Danio rerio: one gene and its partner. The protein of the gene in region 1 binds, or shares a complex with, the protein of each later gene. Links are inferred from orthologs where the notes say so. Each region holds a gene or a part of one and is shown on either strand. Other genes may lie near its edges. The genes, in order: rev1 and polh.

Region 1 (9,411 bases):
CTTTCAGTTTTGGGCTCATTCTTTTGAATTGTTGTCTTTTAGGTCCCTCAGTATGAGTCGAGATGGATGGAGGAAGAAAGCCAGTGAAAATGATGGGTGGGGAGGACAGGTAAGAGTTTAGTTATTTACGCAGAAATGTGTTTATTGAGAGCAGGAAAGGCTCAACAGCTGTTTTATCTCAGAGCTGAATCGTCTTCGTATATATCCCGTGTTGTCTTTGCTATCTGTCTTTGTAAAAACTGAACATTATGTAAATAATAGAACTTATCCATAGATTTCCTTTTAACTATTAATTGCCTTTCTGCTGTTTGTACATCACCCATCATGCTTTGTGTGTGTGTTGCTGCTGAAGTCTAGACAGATTTTCATTTGTATTACACCAGTGAGTAATCTCAATTTTCTTCACTGCTGACCAGCACCTCTGCTCAGTCGCCACAGTCCAGACCCAGCTAGAGATTTGACAAGCTTCGGCATCTTCATGTTCTTCAGGCATTAGCAGAACCACACTAATATAAACAACTCCACAAGCTTCTGTCTTCACTAATAAAATAACAATCTTAGTTCTAACCAGTAGAACTGTTTTACCGCACAATTTGAGACCAGAAATGTGTGATTTTTAAGTAAATGTACTATGTATTTTACTGTGTAAGTGTGATTAAACACAGAAATAGGCTTCTGACAATATAATTTTTTGTTGCAATTAATTGCTGAAGGTTTTATGATGATGTATAGTATTATTGACCTAAGCTGCAAAAATATATTATAACCAAAATATTTGATTGCTTTATTGTCTATATACATGTTCAGAATAAATGAATGTTTTAAGCCAATTAAATTGTAAATGGAAGATAGGTACAATAGGTAATACTTTACAAAAAAGTACCATTAGTAAATGTTAATCAATGCATTAAAATCTACTGTAAAAATGCATTTTATATATTAAAGTTAATTTAGAAAAATATAGCTGAAATTTATTAGCTGTTATCGCACTGCTGTCTGGAATGCTTGATTTTGATTGGCCAATCTCAACATTCTGAGCTGAGGTAAAAAATCACTGAAACTAATAATACAGGCTCATCCATGTATTTGAATCATCCTGACTGTCAGTTAATACGATTGCTTCTGAATCATTTGCATGTCTGTCTCTGCTATTGTTTTTGATGGTTTGGCAGCATTTTGTGAGTTAATAGTACATACTAGGTCAGTGTATGCACCTTTCAGCTGGTTTTGTTTCTATCAGCTTCATCTTTATTAATTTATTATGGCTCAGAAAATGTTTAATGTCTAATTTTGACATTTATGGCAATAGGCATTTAAAAAGCAGGATAAACTACATTCATTTAGTTGTTTTAGCAGCCCAAAAAAGCCATACGCTTGCTCATTCATCCAATCATACGCTATGGCCAATCATATCTACCTATACTATACCGCATGTCTTTGGATTGTGGGGGAAATGAGAGTGTGCAAACTCCAGCTGGGACTTGAACCAGGCATCTTCTTAATATGAGTTGAAAGTGAGCCACCTTGCAGCCCTAGTTAATAACTCCATTTAATAAAAAGATGACTACATTTGATTTTAATGCATTATTAGGTGTTCGCTAATAAGTTAATGTCCCTTTAAGGCAAGTCATTTCACTTAGCGGCCTTGTTTGAAACGCCTCTTGGGCTGTATTTTCGAGCATTCCATCTGAATGGAGAAACATCAAATTTTTCAAAATTGTTTGCCAAGCTTATAATTATATTACATATTTGGAGTCAACAGTAAAATTAAACAACAGTTGTTTCATAAGTTTCGTTTCTAAACGTCTGAATTAAACAAAATCTGCATATTTTCAAGTTGCCAGAGCTAGTGCGCATGCAAACTCGAAAGGAATGAGATCACAACACCAACCTCATTTACGGCAGTGTTACACATCACACAGTGTTGTCCTCTGGATAATGATCATGTAGTCGCACTGGTCATCTGAAATAATCCACAGCTTGGTCTTGATAGCAAATCTTCTCCAGTAGTGAAATCGATTCTATGTTTACACTTTGAGTAATTGCTGTCTCATGATGTGTGTTTGACAGGACTGACTGTACTTCACATTCGTTTATACTGGAGACACGTCAGTCTATAGAGATTTGATGATTAGCTCCTGTACTAGTAGGCGGGGCTTCATTCGCCATATTGACTGTAACACTTTTCTCCATTCAAAACTATACGAGTGACGCATCTTGTGTATTCTATAGTCTTTGCCTAAGGTTAATCAATGCTTTTATATCATTACATTGACTGTAGTTAGGTTAGCTGACGTTGAATGGAAGCTGATCATAAATTGTCTATTAAGGCTTGAAGCGTTTGGTGCTGTGATGTACACTGCAGTGCAGATACAACAATATAAATATCCTTTAATGGTAATCTGAAAGTTGAAATTCTAAATAATTATTTACATTATTTTAAAAACCCACAGCATCAATATATTGTGCACGTTCATGATCACAGTGTATGGCATTATTGGACATCAGCATATGTCTACGCAAAACCTTTATTTGCTTTAGGTTGTGTGTGTGTGTGTGTGTGTGTGTGTGTTGATCTCTCAGAGTGTTGTCTCTCAGGTGTGTTGTTGTTGTGTGTGTGTGTGTGTGTGTGTGTGTGTGTGTGTGTGTGTGTGTGTGTGTGTTGATCTCTCTGATTGATATAAATTAGGTTCAGGGATGCCTCCAGCAAGTGAGTGTTTTCAGGAGTATTTTTCAGTGTGTGTGAGAGTCTGTTTATTGGTTCAAGCTCAACTCTTGAATCCCAGCGTTCCCTCCGTTGCCATGGAGACAGAGAGTCGCCGTGCCAGCAGGGCAGACTTGCACCTCCAGTCTCATTGAATGTCTGAGGCGTAATCAAACGCTTGTCAGCCAGACGCTGCACATTTTCCTTTGTGTGTGTGCCTGTATTGCAGTCTGTTCATTTCCAGAGGTTAGAATTGTGTGGGTTTTTTTTCTATTAAGGTGTGTGCGTGTGTGTGTGGTCAGCTTGTGCTGTATGCTTTGTCTTAGCTCTTGAGCTTGCAAGCCTGTGTTGACGTGAATAGGCTTTGAAATAAAAATCTTGTTTGTTGAATTTTTACTCAGGGAGGTTACATGGCTGCAAAAGTCTCTAAGCTTGAGGAGCAGTTTCAGAAGGATGCCCCGAGAGAGCAGAAGAAAGATGGAAAGTCCTCCTGCATCTTCAGCGGTGTGGCCATCTATGTCAATGGATACACAGGTCAGACTCTCCCAGCATCCCCTCTGCAATGTGCTGTGGAAATAAACTTTCTTACTCCAATGAAATCCCTTGTACTGCATTGTGCATGTTCAGCATCACCATAATCATCGTCATTACTATTATTATGGCAGTATCTGGATGATTTGTTGCACCTGACTATAGATATTGCGTCAAGTCTAAGAGAGTAAATATATAAAAGGATTTTTGTACATATTTCACTTTTACAATTTTATTCAGGGGTTATTTTGTACACTATTTTTTTAAACTTGTATTTTAGGGTGTGTCCAGGTTTATTTTGAACAAACCTATAAATGCTTGAATGCAGTCATCTAAACCTTGGTGTACACCAAACAAGTGGACAAAAAGCCCTGAGAAGACTGGTTTTGGCCTTCTTTTAAATGAATTCTATTGTGGCTTGTCTGAAATATGGACAATAGATGTGATGTCACAAAATGTGACCAAAGAAATGGACATAATGCTCAAGCATAACGGATTATTCTCTTTATAGTCACAAAATGTCCCAGTACAGTTCAATAAAGGTGTCAGAAACGCTTCTCCTTGCAGCAGATTATCATTTGTGTGTGTGACACAGGGGCTTCCTGGTCAAGCACACAGCATTGTTTGGGATGTTCCGTAAGTTATTCTGCACAATACATGTCATAAAAACTTGTAGTTAGTGTTTTTATCTTAAAAATGAGAGTGTGAACACCCAGCAAATTAAATGTATAGTTTTTTTTTTTCAATTTTTTTAGGTACCGACCTACAGAACATAAATAAATTCTGTATCAAATGATCAGAAGTGATACCAGCATTTCATATAGACAACATTTATTATTAATGTCAAGCCTGAGCAAATCTGAAACTAGGGGTGTGTGGGTACAAATACTCACATGACTCTCTCATTTGCCTTCAAATGTTGCATGCTTTTGCATGGTTTGCTTGCTTGATGTAAACTGCATTATAGACCCTGTTCACACCTGGTATCAAGATACATTTTCATGATGTGATCACAAGTGGTCAAAGCAAACATTACCATTCAGACCCTGCATTTAAAGGTTTCTTTTGTCCATTTTTGACCCTCTAATAATGGAGGGTCTGTGGGCAGGTATTGTTTTTCTTTGAACTTTCAATCTAATGCCTCTTTCACACTGGCAGTGACTTTGTAGCTGCCTGTCGCTCTGGGTGATGACCTGCTGCATACGCAGTTCTATGTAGGCCTACAGCACCAAAAAATACAACTCGCCTCTGCAGGAGCTGAGAGAGGATCACATGAGCTCTACTGGTGCTCCTATTGGCTGTCGTCCCTCAAGAAAGTCACTCTTCATTTGCATAAAGTTTACAGATTCTCAACTTTGTCACGTCACTCGACAAGCCTACCTGATCGCCAGCGGTTGCTGTCACTTGCATAAATGGAGATCGCCGGAATCCGCTCACTGTCTGTTGAAATGAACGGCTGTTTGTTGCTGTGCTGCTGCGAGTCGCTCGTAGTGTGATTGAGGCTTAATACTGCCAAAGCTAGTGCAAATTTTATGCTGTGCAAAAAAAATATGCTGTATATAACCTGTAAATATGCTTAATGCAAAGGCTCGAATAATTAAATTATAGATATAATTTCTTTATATATAGATATAATTATAGATTTATTTAATTTCCAATCAACCAATTAGTTTTAATGTCTATATGTTTTTGTATTTATTAAACTTGTTTAACAAATATCAATTTAAAATCAAAAATTAAATCTTTGACTTAAATAATTAGGCATATGCAAAGGATCAGGAATCACATTAACACATCCAACACATGCACTATCACCTAAAGTCTCTGAATTTTTGCTTTGAATAGAATATTATTAGTAAAGGCACATTAAAGACTTTAAACATGAAATAAAACATTCACAAAATTGTATCTTATAAAGAACTCCTGTTGGTTGGCGCTGCAGGAAAGCTGCTGTTTGAAGAGAAAGCAGCCGTAGCCTATTTTAAAATAATTTGCAGTCAAATATGTATTTATTTTTCATTCATCCATTCGTTTTCCTTTGGCTTAGTCCCTTTATTCATCAGGGGTTGTCACAGTGAAATCTACCGATAACTTATCCAGCACATGTTTTACACAGCGGATGCCCTTCCAGCTGCAACCCAGTACCGGGAAACACCAGTACACTCTCACATTCACACACATACACTACGGCCAATTTAGCTTATTCAATTTACCTGTACTGCATGTCTTTAGACGGTGGGGGAAACCCAGAAAAAACCCACGCGAACACGGGGAGAACATGCAAACTCTACACAGAAATGCCAACCGACCCAGCCAGCACTTGAACCAGCGACCTTCTTGCTTTGATTTTACAGTGCTAACCACTAAGCCACCGTGCTGCCTCGTATTTATTTTTGCCAAAAAAATTAATTAAACATATTGCCACCAATATGAATTCTAAGATTACCAATGACAGTTTAAATCACAGTCTCTCCACTGTGTCTCAAATGAGACTGAAGAATGAGATCACAGTCATAGAGAAGAATCACAGTCATAGAGAAGGCAGTGTTTTGTGGCTGTTCAAACACGTTAACCCAAATTTGTGTCTGCACTACAACTGCAATTCGCTTTCGACCACCTATTAGTATGGTCAAAGTGGACAAGTTCAAACTGTTTCAAACCTTGTTCACACCTGAACTTAACGTTGTCCACTTATAATCAGATCGAAGAAAATGAATCTTAATACCAGGTGTGAATAGGGCCCTATAAATTGCTTTGGAATATAAACCGCTTATATTCCAAAAATTATTGTATTTCCTTTTTAGAAGGTTATTTTTACTTACTGTTGAAGTCAGAATTATTAGCCCCCTGACTTATTAGCGCCCCGTTTATTTTTTTCCCCAATTTCTGTTTAATGGAGGGAGGATTGTTTCAGCACATTTCTAAGCATAATAGTTTAAGAAACCTATTTCTAATAACTGATTTATTTAATCTTTGTCATGATGACAGTAAATAATATTTTACTTGATATTTTTCAAGACACTTCTTTACAGCTTAAAGTGACATTTAAAGGCTTAACTAGGTTAATAAGGTGAACTAGGTAGGTTAGGGTAATTAGGCAAGTTATTGTATAACGATGGTTTGTTCTGTAGACTATCAAAAAAAAATAGCTTAAAGGGGCTAATAATTTTGTCCCAAAATTGTTTTTTAAAAAATTAAAAACTGCTTTTATTCTAGCCGAAATAAAACAAATAAGACTTTCTCCAAAAGAAAAAAATATTATCAGACATACTGTGAAAGTTTTCGTGCTCTGTTAAACATCATTTGGGAAATATTAAAAAAAGAAAAAAAATCAAAAGGGGGCTAATAATTCTGACTTCAACTGTATATAATTAGGTTTCATTAAATAACCATATTTATTTTATAAATTGATAATACAAAACAGCTGTGTTCAGAATTGTTATTCATATGATATTTTAAAAAAGAAACTCCAAAATGAACTGTGCAGCTGAAAGAGTCAGAAGGATGAGCACTGGGCCACTGCTCTTGCATTTTGAGTGTATTTGTTTTGTATTTGTGTGTGTGTAGATCCCAGTGCGGCTGAGTTACGCAGGCTTATGATGTTGCATGGTGGGCAATTTCATCTGTATTACTCTCGCTCCAAAACCACGCACATCATTGCCACCAACCTGCCCAACTTCAAAATACAAGAGCTCAAAGGAGAGAAAGTAGTGCGGCCAGAGTGGATCATAGACAGGTGGGTGCCTTTGTGTGCACTTTGCAGTTTGCAGAAGCACAATACTAATAGTTTTTTTTTCTTGCATTTTGTGCAGTATAAAAGCAGGTCGCCAACTATCATATATTCAGTATCAGCTCTATGCGAAGCAGAAAGGATTAAATTTCACCAGAGTTTCTGGAATAGAAGGCCAGGACCCGTCATCCAACCATGGACCAGACATCAAGCCTCAGCCGAGCCATACTCTATCTAAAGACGTCCTCAAGTCTACTCAGGCTAACCACATGGCTAACTACACTGAGAAAACCGATCACCAGCTGGATATCAGGCTGTGAGTGTGCCTTATCCTAAGGTGTTTTTTAATAAACGGATTGGTGGAAATTTCAACACCTTTATTTTCCCAGTTTTTACATTTAGATTTCCTCTGTTTTCATGCAAGACTTATGTAAAAATAATTAGATTTATAAAAAGCGCAAATTATTAATTAACAGTTTAATTTACTTTTCCATTTGTTATATAACTATTTAACCGGTTAAATAAGTATTTATAACAGAAAGTCTATTACTCTGATATGAAAAATGTGAAAGTTTCTATCAAAAAAAAAACATTTTTGAAAATGAGAAAATTCTGAATTAGAATGTGCACATATTCAAGTAATACATTATACTGCAGTAATGAATGTGCACAAAATTGTTATTATGGCCACATCAAAAGTGAATTATTTTGTCCTTGAATTTTTTTTTATAGCACGCTTTTTTTTACCTAATAAAGAAAATGTACGACTCTGCATGTAACTTTCTATTCAGAAAAAAAGTCATGTTTCAAAGTACAGACAGAAGAATTTTCCTTAATTTGAAGTAAATAGATGGATTATATTAGACTTGAGTCAGGTTTATTTTGTACATTCACATAACGGATATCCATACACCAGTGTATGTTAATGTGTTTTCTGTCACATTTGTCGTACAAAACAGTGCAAAACAAAACGTGTGTGCGCTCACACAACATTGTGTGTGACTCATCATTGCAGAAAGGCTTGAATTAACTCCACAACAAATATATCAATTAACAGTTGGGACTGTTTCTATTAACAGTAAGGGAGATCTGTTTCATTCTTGTCTGTCACTGTGCTGTTTATCTACGTCAGGGCTACGAAGGGCCGGTGTCCTGCATAGTTTAGGCCCAACTTCAACACATCTGCCTGGAAGTTTCTAGTATACCTATTAAGTGCTTGATTAGCTGGTTCAGGTGTTTTTAACTGCGGTTGGAACTAAAATATGCAGGACACCGGCCCTCCAGGACCGAGTTTGGGCACCCCTGATCTACTGATCTAAGGCTACATGGATCGGAGTGATCTCTGTGGCTCTGACATGCATGTGGGAATGGTGGGCGGGGAGAACTAGCTCATTTGCATTAAACGCACAGGCAACAAAAACAGCTACAATGCATTAACAGCTCAGATTTCCCAGATTTAAAGAGGTATAATAAAAAAAAATCTTCAAACAAACTTCAATTTCAAACAGAAACTTTACAGACACCTTCTAGGGACACAAAATACTCCAGGCTAAAATAGTTGCCCTTTAGGGTAATCTATTGGATGACTTGTAGCCTTCCATATTTTTCTGTGTATAGTTGGAAGACAGCATATGCAAGATCAGTATCTCTTTTTGTCTGAGAGATTATGCATGTCCTACAGTATATATATATATATATATATATATATATATATATATATATATATATATATATATATATATATATATATATATATATATATATATATAATTTTTTTTTTTTTTTTTTTTTTCTGAAAAAAAAAAAAACTACTGGTCTACTGAAACACATTTATCTGAGCAATGTTATGTAATTAGATCAATAATGGCAGATTATATATTAACAATTTCTATTCAAATAATTCTTTCTCTTTTATTTGTCCAGCAGAAATGGTTTGCATAGCATTATCTCTGAGGTAGATGCAGAGAAATCGAGAGTCAATGGGATTCATGATGATGATGATGATGATGACATCGCCTGTTCCATTTTGCCAAGAGGCTCACAAGACACTTTGTTAACTAACGGTCATGTACACCCTGTGAATGGTGCCTTAAAGCCTCAGGACTTTGCAGACCATCATCCTCATGTTGTTGACAAAGCGTCCAATCAGTCTCACCTCCCACAGGACAAATACAGGGAGGGTGAGGAGCCCTGCTGCTCATATACTGAATCAAAAGCTAATTCCCATCTGAGGTCCTTAATATCAGCAGCCAGTCCTGCAAAGCAGCCTGGTCCTCACAATATGCAAACGGACCTCCATCAAAAACCAACATCCAATTCAGGAACTTTAGGTGCTCCTCAGAAGGCCAGTCTGCATGATCAGACCACAGTCCGGCTAAATGGGAGTTATCACGTGACCTCAAACTCCTCCACTCTGGCAAACTCTAGTAACCAGTCAGGAAAATCC
Region 2 (9,411 bases), on another chromosome or scaffold:
GGGCTAAAGTTGGTTTTATTTGCACACATTCAGACTTTCTCCTTAATATAAAGTTTGTTTTATTTTCACTCATTCATTCAGTGATGACTCCTGACACCCTCCCTGTATAGTTTACCATGGTATTTTGAATATTGGGTGTGAAACAGCATGTAAGTATGAGTAAAAACAACATCTGCGCTATTTACTGACTGTGATCAGTGTTGTATTTTGATAGCCACCGGCTGATAATGTGATATTGAGGTAAAAGTTGGCTTTATATTCATCATATAATTTCAGAAAAGTGTTTTTTGCAAACCATAAATGGGGAAATCACATTATCAGTCAGTGAATATCAAAGTACAACACTGCTTATAGTCAATAAAATAATGATAATGTCATTGTGAAGTCAGACCTGCATGCTATTTCAGACCAAATATTAAGTTTAGCGTTTCACAAGTTGTCACTGTTCAGAAATGAGCAAATGTGTTAACATATAACCAGCTTTACTTCGTTATCACAAAATACATTCATTAAAAAGTAATTTGTAATGTATTCTGTCAAGTTAAGTACCGTCCTACATCACTAATATACTATAGCAATTTTTAACTATGCTTTAGTAAAGTGTATTATACTGTATATTAGAGCATTTAAAATACTCAATTAATGCTTCAGCATATTAAACCAACTTCACCCCAATAGAAAACTGACAGAAAAACTGCTCAGAAATGAGCAAAACAGCACAGATATAAGCAGAAATATACATTATAATCAGAGCTGGGAGCTTTATTTCACTACAGATTTCAAATACATGATTTAAAAAGACATGTGTAATGCATTTTATTAGTTTAGTAATGTTACCGACCTACATTACAAATATACTATAGTAATCTTTATTGGGGTAAAGTTGGTTTTATATTTGCACATTCATTCAGTGACGACTCCTGACACCCTCCCTGTATAGTTTACCATGGTATTTTGAATATTGGGTGTGAAACAGCATGTAAGTATGAGTAAAAACAACATCAGCACTATTTACTGACTGTGATCAGTGTTGTATTTTGATAGCCACCGGCTGATAATGTGATAATGAGGTAAACATTGGCTTTATATTCACACATTCAGAATATATTCAGTGAATATCAAAGCACAACATTGTTTAGTCAGTTAATAATAATAATAATAAATAGTGCTGATGTTGTTTTGAATTTCAGACCCAACATTTAAAGTAGCCGTAAACACTATAGAGAGCATTAAAATGAACACTTGTGTGAAAATAAAGCCAACTGGACCTCAGTCTTCCTCAGAGGATCTGTGTTAAAGTGCTGTGATTACTGTGTCCAGCATTATAGCGGTGAGTTACGAGGCCAGAGCTCATGGAGTCGGCAGGAACATGTTCGCGGATGATGCCAGAAAGCTGTGTCCAGATCTGCAGGTGGCTCGGGTCCCAGAGGCTCACGGGAAGGCGGATCTCACACAGTAAGAGCTGTTTATTCTCAGAGCCACTTCAACAGTTATTACTTTCTAATTACAATTTAGATGAAGATTAAATGTCAAAGAATTTATTGCGATTAATTGCAATGAATAGTCCCATACAGAACTCCATGTCAGATATAAGACATATTAATTATGTCTATTTGTGTTTCTAATAATTAAAAGCGCACAGTGCTCAGCATAAATGAGCACACCTCCTTTGAAAAAAGCACATTTTTATTTTTATTTATCATTTTTTTCAATAAATATAGCCAATATGTTTTGGTGCATTTAAACTAAACAGTTTGATTAATCAGATACATGCATTAAATTAAGAGTTTGGTCACCGAATATCTTTAGGAATCCAAATAAAATACATTTAAATTGTGACTGGGATCCTGTTTATGAATCTTTTATTTAATATTTATCATTTATTCATTTTCCTTCGGCTTAGTCCCCTTATTCATCAGGGGTCTCCACAGCGGAATGAACCACCAACTATCCCTGCATATTGTTTATGGAGCCCATGCCCTTCCAGCAGCAACCCACTTGGAAACACCTATACACACTTATTCGCACACACACACACACACACACACACACACACACACACACACACACACACACACACAAACACAAACACAAACAAACACAAACAAACACACACAAACACACAAACACACACACACAAACACACTCACACACACACACTCATACACTCATACACTATGGCCACATTAATTCATCAGTTCCCCTATAGTGTTTGGACTGTGGGGGAAACCGGAGCACCCAGAGGAAGCCCACGCCAACACTTGGAGAACATGCAAACTCCACACAGAAACTCCAACTGACCCAGCTGGGACTCGAACCAGTGACCTTAGTGCTAACCACTGTGCCACCCCTATTTAATATGTATCCCTAACATAGTATTTTTTGGACCTTGTGTTTGTGTGCGCGTGTGTGTGTGTTTCAGCTACAGGGAGGCGAGTGTGGAGGTGATCGAGGTGATGTCCCGCTTCGCTGTGATCGAGAGAGCCAGCATTGACGAGGCCTATATGGACCTGACGGCCAGCGTTCAGGAGCGCCTGAAGAACACCAGTGTGCAGGACATCACGGCGCAGCAGCTGAAGAACACACACATTCAGGGTTTCCCTACACAGCAGGAGAACACACACCTGGACAGAGGTCAGCCCTGTTCTCACCTGGTATTAAAGAGACAGTTCACCCAAAAATGTAAACACAGGGTCAGTTTTACCCTTCACTATTGTTGGTACACTATATAGAGTTCGCCAAAGGGTCCAGATGGTCTAGTATTTCTGGTAGAAATGTGAAGTGTAGAGATGTCCCTACTCTAACTGCTAATATTGCCCACCATTAGGGATGTAACGCTATTGTAAATACCGTCATTTTGATACCGTTACGTCCCCACCCTCCATGTGAATTCAATTAGAACTACAAATTCAGGGGAAAAGTGTAAACAAACTACAAAAATGGCGGATGCTCGAGACCAACTGTCCAGTAGAGAGTAAACCAGGGGTGTCCAGACTCGGTTCTGGAGGGCCGGTGTCCTGCGAAATTTAGTTCCAACCCCAATCAGACACACCTGGGCTAGCTCTTACTAGGCTTTCTAGAAACATCCGTGCAGGTGTGTTGAGGCAAGTTGGAGCTAAAATCTGCAGGACACCGGCCCTCCAGGACCGAGATTGGACACCCCTGGAGTAAACCTATAGAGAGGCTTCAAGAGATGTTTGAATGACTTAATTAAGATCTAGTCAAGTGGAAAATCTTTAAATCTTGTTTTCTGTGTAATGTAATGGTACTTTTACTTGAGTGAGCTGTTTCCTCATCCTCTTCCCACCGCTGTGTGTTGTGTTTGTGCAGATGCGCAGCGGGCCGCAGGTCTGCAGCAGTGGCTGGATCTTCTGTCCTCCAGCACTGAATCTTCACCTGCGGATCTGCGTCTGGCCGTCGGGGCTCTGATAGTGGAGCAGATGAGGGCTGCTGTGGAGGAACACACCGGGTTTCGCTGCTCCGCCGGTATCTCACACAACAAGGTGGATATAAGAGAATTTCTACGTCTCTTTCTACATTTACAGTTAGCGGGTGTTCAGTCGTGGTCATGAAGCGCAAAATAAGCTATATAAACCCAAACCCAGCATGATTCCCTTATTGTATCAAGCTGTTTAAAATAATTGCAATTATGGCCTTTAATTGTCTGATACATACAGAAATCTAATACATGACTCAATATGAACATATACTGTATATCAAATTATATGTGCGTATTTGTTGTTGTAATTATTGCAAATGAACATGCAAACTCGGATTTGTTTGCAGCATTTTGAAATATGTGTGCATATATAACAGGGCTCGAAATTGCGACCATTTTGGTCGCATATGCGCCCGAAAATTAATCTATGCGACCTCATAGTATATTTGGGCGCATTAGTGCGACTGCTGATAATGGTTGTAGTGCGACCTGTTTTGATTTTTTTGTAAAAACGTGCTGAATCGCTCTTCCCTGCCGCTATATTGGTTCATATTAGCTGTCAATCCCTCAAGGTATTCCGCTGTCAGATGACAGGGAAGGAGCTTGATGACCACGGGAAATGCAAACGGCTGAAGAGTAAAAACTTAAAGCACACAGGTTTGCAAACCCCACCTAAAGTTGAGGCGCAGATGAGAGCGATCATGACACGTCACGTGGTGAATAATGATCCGCTAGCTGAGATCAATCGATTACGCGCTTCTTGGAGAAGGCGCCCGAATCTCCATGCTTTGCATTCACTGCGTGTTCAGCGCAAATGTCCGCTAAAAGTCAAATCTAATACTGTTCATATCATCGCCAAAGAAGCTCGCCTTTACTAAGTTTACACTGAAACTGCGTCTCATAACAAAGAGCGGTATTGCGCCGATGGTTAGTCTAGATGGTTAGATCTAGTCTCATATTATTTACTGTCATCATGACATCTAAATATTCTTCAAGACACTTCTATACAGCTTAAAGTGACATGTAAAGGCTTCACTAGGGTAATTAGGGTAACTAGGCAAGTCATTGTATAATGATGGTTTGTTCTGTAGACGATCTAGAAAAAATATAGCTTACAGGGGATAATAATATTGAGTTGAAAATGGTGTTTAAAAAAATAAAAATGCTTTTACTCTAGCTGAAATGAAACAAATAAAACTTTCTGCAGAAGAAAAAATATTATCAGACATACTGTGAACATTTCCTTGCTCTGTTAAACATCATTTGGGAAATATTAAAAAACAAAAAAAATGCAATGGTGAGCTAATAATTCTGACCTCAACTGTATATGTGTGTGTGTGTGTGTGTGTGTGTGTGTGTGTGTGTGTGTTTAAAATGCAAACATCAATCCACACCTGCATGATAAATATGTAATTTACAAATTTCATTATCTCATTTGTCATCCTTTTAATTACTAAGGAATTTTTACAACTTTTTAAGATTAATTGACTTGTATTGAGAATATAAGTTGACACTTTGCACCTTGAAATATGAAAGTAATTTATTGCATTCTCTATATGTTAAAAACAATCACAACAAACTGGCCACACACACACACGTTTGTTTTTGTACTGTTTTATACTGTTCAAACCGTATATTGTATTGCCCTCACCCCACCCCACCCCTAATCATCACAGGAGTCAGTGTGCAGCTTTACTCTCTGATTAAACTCATCCTGTGTGATTTATAAGCTTTTTGAGTAATGAGGACGTCACCAATGTCCCCATATTTCACCTGCTTTTTGTAATACCTGTGTCATACCCATGTCATTATACAGATTTGTGTCCTGATATGTCACAAAAACACACACACATAAACACACACACAGAAATTCTGCTAAAGTTGAAACCGTTGGCTAGTATCTGTTGCTTCATTCTCCACAGTGATTTGTTGACGTCGCTGCCTGCTGTTTGACATGTTTATACTACATTTATTCCCAGTTATAATCAGTCTCTCCATCTTAAATGTGAAGACTGATGAACTGTATGTTGGTTTTTGTTTTCATTGAACTCTAATGTTTCTGGGTTTGTCTCTCAGGTGTTGGCCAAGCTGGCATGCGGACTAAACAAACCCAATCGCCAAACCGTGTTGCCGCTGAGCTCCGTTCCTCAACTCTTCAGCACTCTTCCCATCAGCAAAATGTAAGTGATCGCTAATCATGTCAGTAAAATTCCTCTTCGAATGACTTCAGTGACTTGAACAGTACTGCCTCGCTTTATTTCTCAGTGAATAAGTATTTAATTATAGTCAGTGGTTTTAGATAAGCACACCCAGCACTGCCTGTACCTCATGAACACGTGTGTTTCCACATGTGTATGTTGTGCTCAGTCGTAATCTGGGAGGGAAGCTGGGCTCGTCCATCACGGAGACTCTGAGTGTGGAGAACATGGGAGATCTGACCCGGTTCAGCAGAGCCCAGCTGGAGCAGCACTTCGGGGACAAGACCGGGTGAGCAAACACACACGGAGAGAAGATAAATAAAGCCATGTACAGATCTGAAATCAGCTGATATTCATTCAGACACTCATCATATGCAGCTTTATCATGGACTTAATGAGTTTGACAACTTGAACTGGACAGAATATTCAATTAAGCAGGCGAGGTTATTTCTGCTGCAGGTTTCACACACACACATGACTGACTCAAAGTGCTTTACAAGAAAAAGAAGATCAAATACACGTGTAGATCAGAACAACAGAATAAACATCATTAAACTTGATGAAGCAGATTTAAAAGGAAAACAGAAGAAAAAAAAGACATTAGTGAATCATGTGTGTGTGTTTCTGTGTGTGTGTGTGTGCGTGCGTGTGTGTGTGTGTGTGTGTGTGTTGTGTGTGTGTGTGTGCGTGCGTGTGTGTGTGTGCGTGCGTGTGTGTGTGTGTGTGTGTGTTGTGTGTGTGTGTGTGTGCGCGTGTTTGTGTGTGTCTGTCTGTGTGTATGTGTGCGTGCATGCATGCGTGTTTGTGTGCGTGTGTGTGTGCGTGCGTGTTTGTGTGTGTGCGTGCGTGTGTGCGTGCGTGTCTGTGTTTCTGTGTGTGTGTGCGTGCGTGTGTGTCTCTGTATGTGTATGTGTGCGTGAGTGTGTGTGTGTCTCTGTATGTGTGTGTGTGTTCGTGCGTTTGTGCGTGCATGTCTGTGTGTGTGTCTGTGTGTTTCTGTGTGTGTGTGTGTGTGTGCGTGCGTGTGTGTGTCTCTGTATGTGTGCGTGCGTGCGCGCGTGTGTGTGTGTGTGTGTGTGTGTGTGTGTGTGTGTGTGTGTGTGGTGCCTGTGTGTGTGTGTGTGTGTGTGTTGTCAGGCCGTGGCTCTATGATCTGTGTCGAGGGATTGAGTTTGAGCCGGTGAAGCCTCGTCAGCTGCCCAAATCCATCGGCTGCAGCAAGAACTTCGCTGGGAAAACCTGCCTGCGCACAAAACAACAGGTGGAGGGAGAGAGAGTGTGTGTGTGTGTGTGTGTGTGTGTGTGTGTGTGAGAGAGAAAGAGAGAGAAATGCAATTGTGTGTGTGTGTATTTGTTTGTGTGTGTATGCACATGAGAGTGTGTGTTTGGTTGTTCATGTATCCGAGTTGTTTCTGAGTGTGTGCAATTGATTGTTTGTATATATTTAATGTTTGTGTGAATGTGCAATTGTGTGTGTGTGTGTGTGCGTATTTGATTGTGTTGTTTGTCTGTGTGTATGTGTTGTGTGTGTTTTTTGTGTGTGTGTTTGGTTGAGTTGTTTGTATATATATATATATATATATATTTATGTTTGTGTGAATTTGTATTTGTGTGTTGTGTGTGTGTGTGTGTGTGTGTGTGTGTGTGTGTCTGTGTGTGCACATACTGACGCTCTGTTCTCTCTGCAGGTTCAGTACTGGCTCCATCAGCTGGCTCTAGAGTTAGAGGAGAGACTCAATAAAGACAGAGATGTGGTGAGTACACACACACACACACACTGCTGCGTCTCACATTCATATTTAAATCCTTCATCAATCAATCAGTATATTACTGTGTATATTGATAATGTATATATAAACACAAACACACGCATGCAGATATTGAGAGAATGTTTATTTGTGTTTCGATATAAAATATTTATGTATTTGAAACAAATTGCATGTAAGTTGAAATATCTGTGTAAAAAAAGGTTTTGTTACACACACACACACACACACACACACACACACACACACACACACACACACACACACACACACATATATAATGGCAAAACAAACTTTTGATTTTGGATGCAATTAATCCTGATAAATCCAGCACTAATAGCTTAGTCCCTTTATTAATCAGAGATCGCCACAGCGGAATGAACCGCCAACTTTATCCAGCATATGTTTTATGCAGTGGATGTCCTTCCAGCTGCAACCCAGTACTGGGAAACAGCCATACACTATGACCACTTTAGTTGATCAGTTCCCCTATAGCGCATGTGTTTGGACTGTGGGGGAAACCGGAGCACCCGGAGGAAACCCACGACAACACAGGGAGAACATGCAAACTCCACACAGAAACACCAACTGACCCAGTCGGGACTCAAACCAGAGACCTTCTTGCTGTGAGGCGATCATGCTAACCACTGCGCCACTGTGACACCCTAATGTGGGATAATGTGTGATCTTTGATGTCTCCATATACATAACTCATGATGTTCAATAGGGTGTACAAACATTTTCACAAGACTGCATGCGTCACCTCAGGTGTGTGTGTGTGTGTGTGTGTTTTCTCCAGAACGGTCGAGTGGCCCGGCAGCTGACGGTGGGTGTGCGTCAGGCTGGAGGTCAGAGGTCAGGCAGTTTCTCGCGCTGCTGTGCTCTCGTGCGCTATGATGCGATGAAGATGACCAACGACAGCCTGACCATCATCAAGAGCCTGAACACTGCTGGAGCACACCAGGAGGCCTGGTGAGGAACACACACACACACACACACACACTTCTGCTTTCACTCACGCGTGTGCACACACACTTTCTCACAAACACAGACACTCATGCGCACTAACACACACACTCACTTGCTCACACACACACACACACACACACATACAAACAAACATGCTCAAACACACTCACACACACGCTTAAACACACTCACACACATTTGCTTAAACACACACACATACAAACAAACACTTGCACCCGCGCACACACTCACACACACACACATACTCTCACTCACTCACTCATTTGCTCACACACAAACATGCTCACACACTTGCTCAAACACACTCATGCACACTTGCGTGCACACACGCACTCACACACACAAACACGCACTCACACACACAAACATGCTCACACACACACACAAATACACACATACACACACAAACATGCTCTCTCTCTCACACACACACACACACACAAACACAAACATGCTCTCACACACACACAAATACACACAAACACAAACATGCTCACACACACACACACACAAATACACACATACACACACAAACACAAACATGCTCTCTCACACACACACACACAATTGCACACACACACAAATACACTCACACACAAACACACACACACAAACATGCTTTCACACACACACACACACACACACACACAAACATGCTTACTGACACACACACACACACACACACACAAACATGCTCACTCGAACACACACAAAGCTTGAACAACCCAAGTGAAGTTGCAGATGTGTCGAGTGTAATCCAGGCTTGCGTCTCCTCAGGTCTCCAGCGCTGACTCTTCTCCATCTGTCCGCCAGTAAGTTCAGCGACGCTCCCTCATCCTCATCTGCAGGAATAACCGGCTTCCTGAGCAGCGACGCGGCTTCATCTCCATCACAGAGCTCCAGCAGCCAGCGGAGCCCGATGGAGAGACCAGCGCAGAAGAGGAAACGACAGCAGGACCAGCGCCAGCGCGAGAACACCACTAGTATATCCGCATTCTTCCAGAGGAAGAGCCTGGAG

What was found.
Region 2: the proteins of rev1 (region 1) and polh are in contact, whole or in part, in an NMR structure (PDB 2LSK), measured with the Homo sapiens proteins. The link is inferred for Danio rerio from reciprocal best matches to the Homo sapiens genes REV1 and POLH. Residues at the interface, in NP_057400.1 of Homo sapiens: Asn1158, Leu1159, Ala1160, Gly1161, Leu1171, Leu1172, Trp1175, Ile1179, Asp1181, Pro1182, Met1183, Glu1185, Asp1186, Gln1189, Val1190; in NP_006493.1 of Homo sapiens: Thr528, Glu529, Pro530, Phe531, Phe532, Lys533, Lys535, Ser536, Leu539.

The regions. Positions count from the first base shown.
Region 1 is NC_133184.1:23,411,795-23,421,205, forward strand, and holds the start of rev1 (DNA repair protein REV1), read left to right. Parts: upstream 1-52; coding exon 53-109; intron 110-3,105; coding exon 3,106-3,238; intron 3,239-3,830; exon of another isoform or gene 3,831-3,864; coding exon of another isoform or gene 3,865-3,871; intron 3,872-6,802; coding exon 6,803-6,971; intron 6,972-7,047; coding exon 7,048-7,281; intron 7,282-8,888; coding exon 8,889-9,411. UniProt on the Homo sapiens protein: Deoxycytidyl transferase involved in DNA repair. Transfers a dCMP residue from dCTP to the 3'-end of a DNA primer in a template-dependent reaction.
Region 2 is NC_133188.1:715,629-725,039, reverse strand, and holds part of polh (DNA polymerase eta), read left to right. Parts: intron 1-1,320; coding exon 1,321-1,455; intron 1,456-2,422; coding exon 2,423-2,634; intron 2,635-3,330; coding exon 3,331-3,503; intron 3,504-5,515; coding exon 5,516-5,619; intron 5,620-5,806; coding exon 5,807-5,926; exon of another isoform or gene 5,927-6,769; intron 6,770-6,774; coding exon 6,775-6,898; intron 6,899-7,054; exon of another isoform or gene 7,055-7,325; coding exon 7,326-7,391; intron 7,392-8,202; coding exon 8,203-8,375; intron 8,376-9,170; coding exon 9,171-9,411. UniProt on the Homo sapiens protein: DNA polymerase specifically involved in the DNA repair by translesion synthesis (TLS). Due to low processivity on both damaged and normal DNA, cooperates with the heterotetrameric (REV3L, REV7, POLD2 and POLD3) POLZ complex for complete bypass of DNA lesions.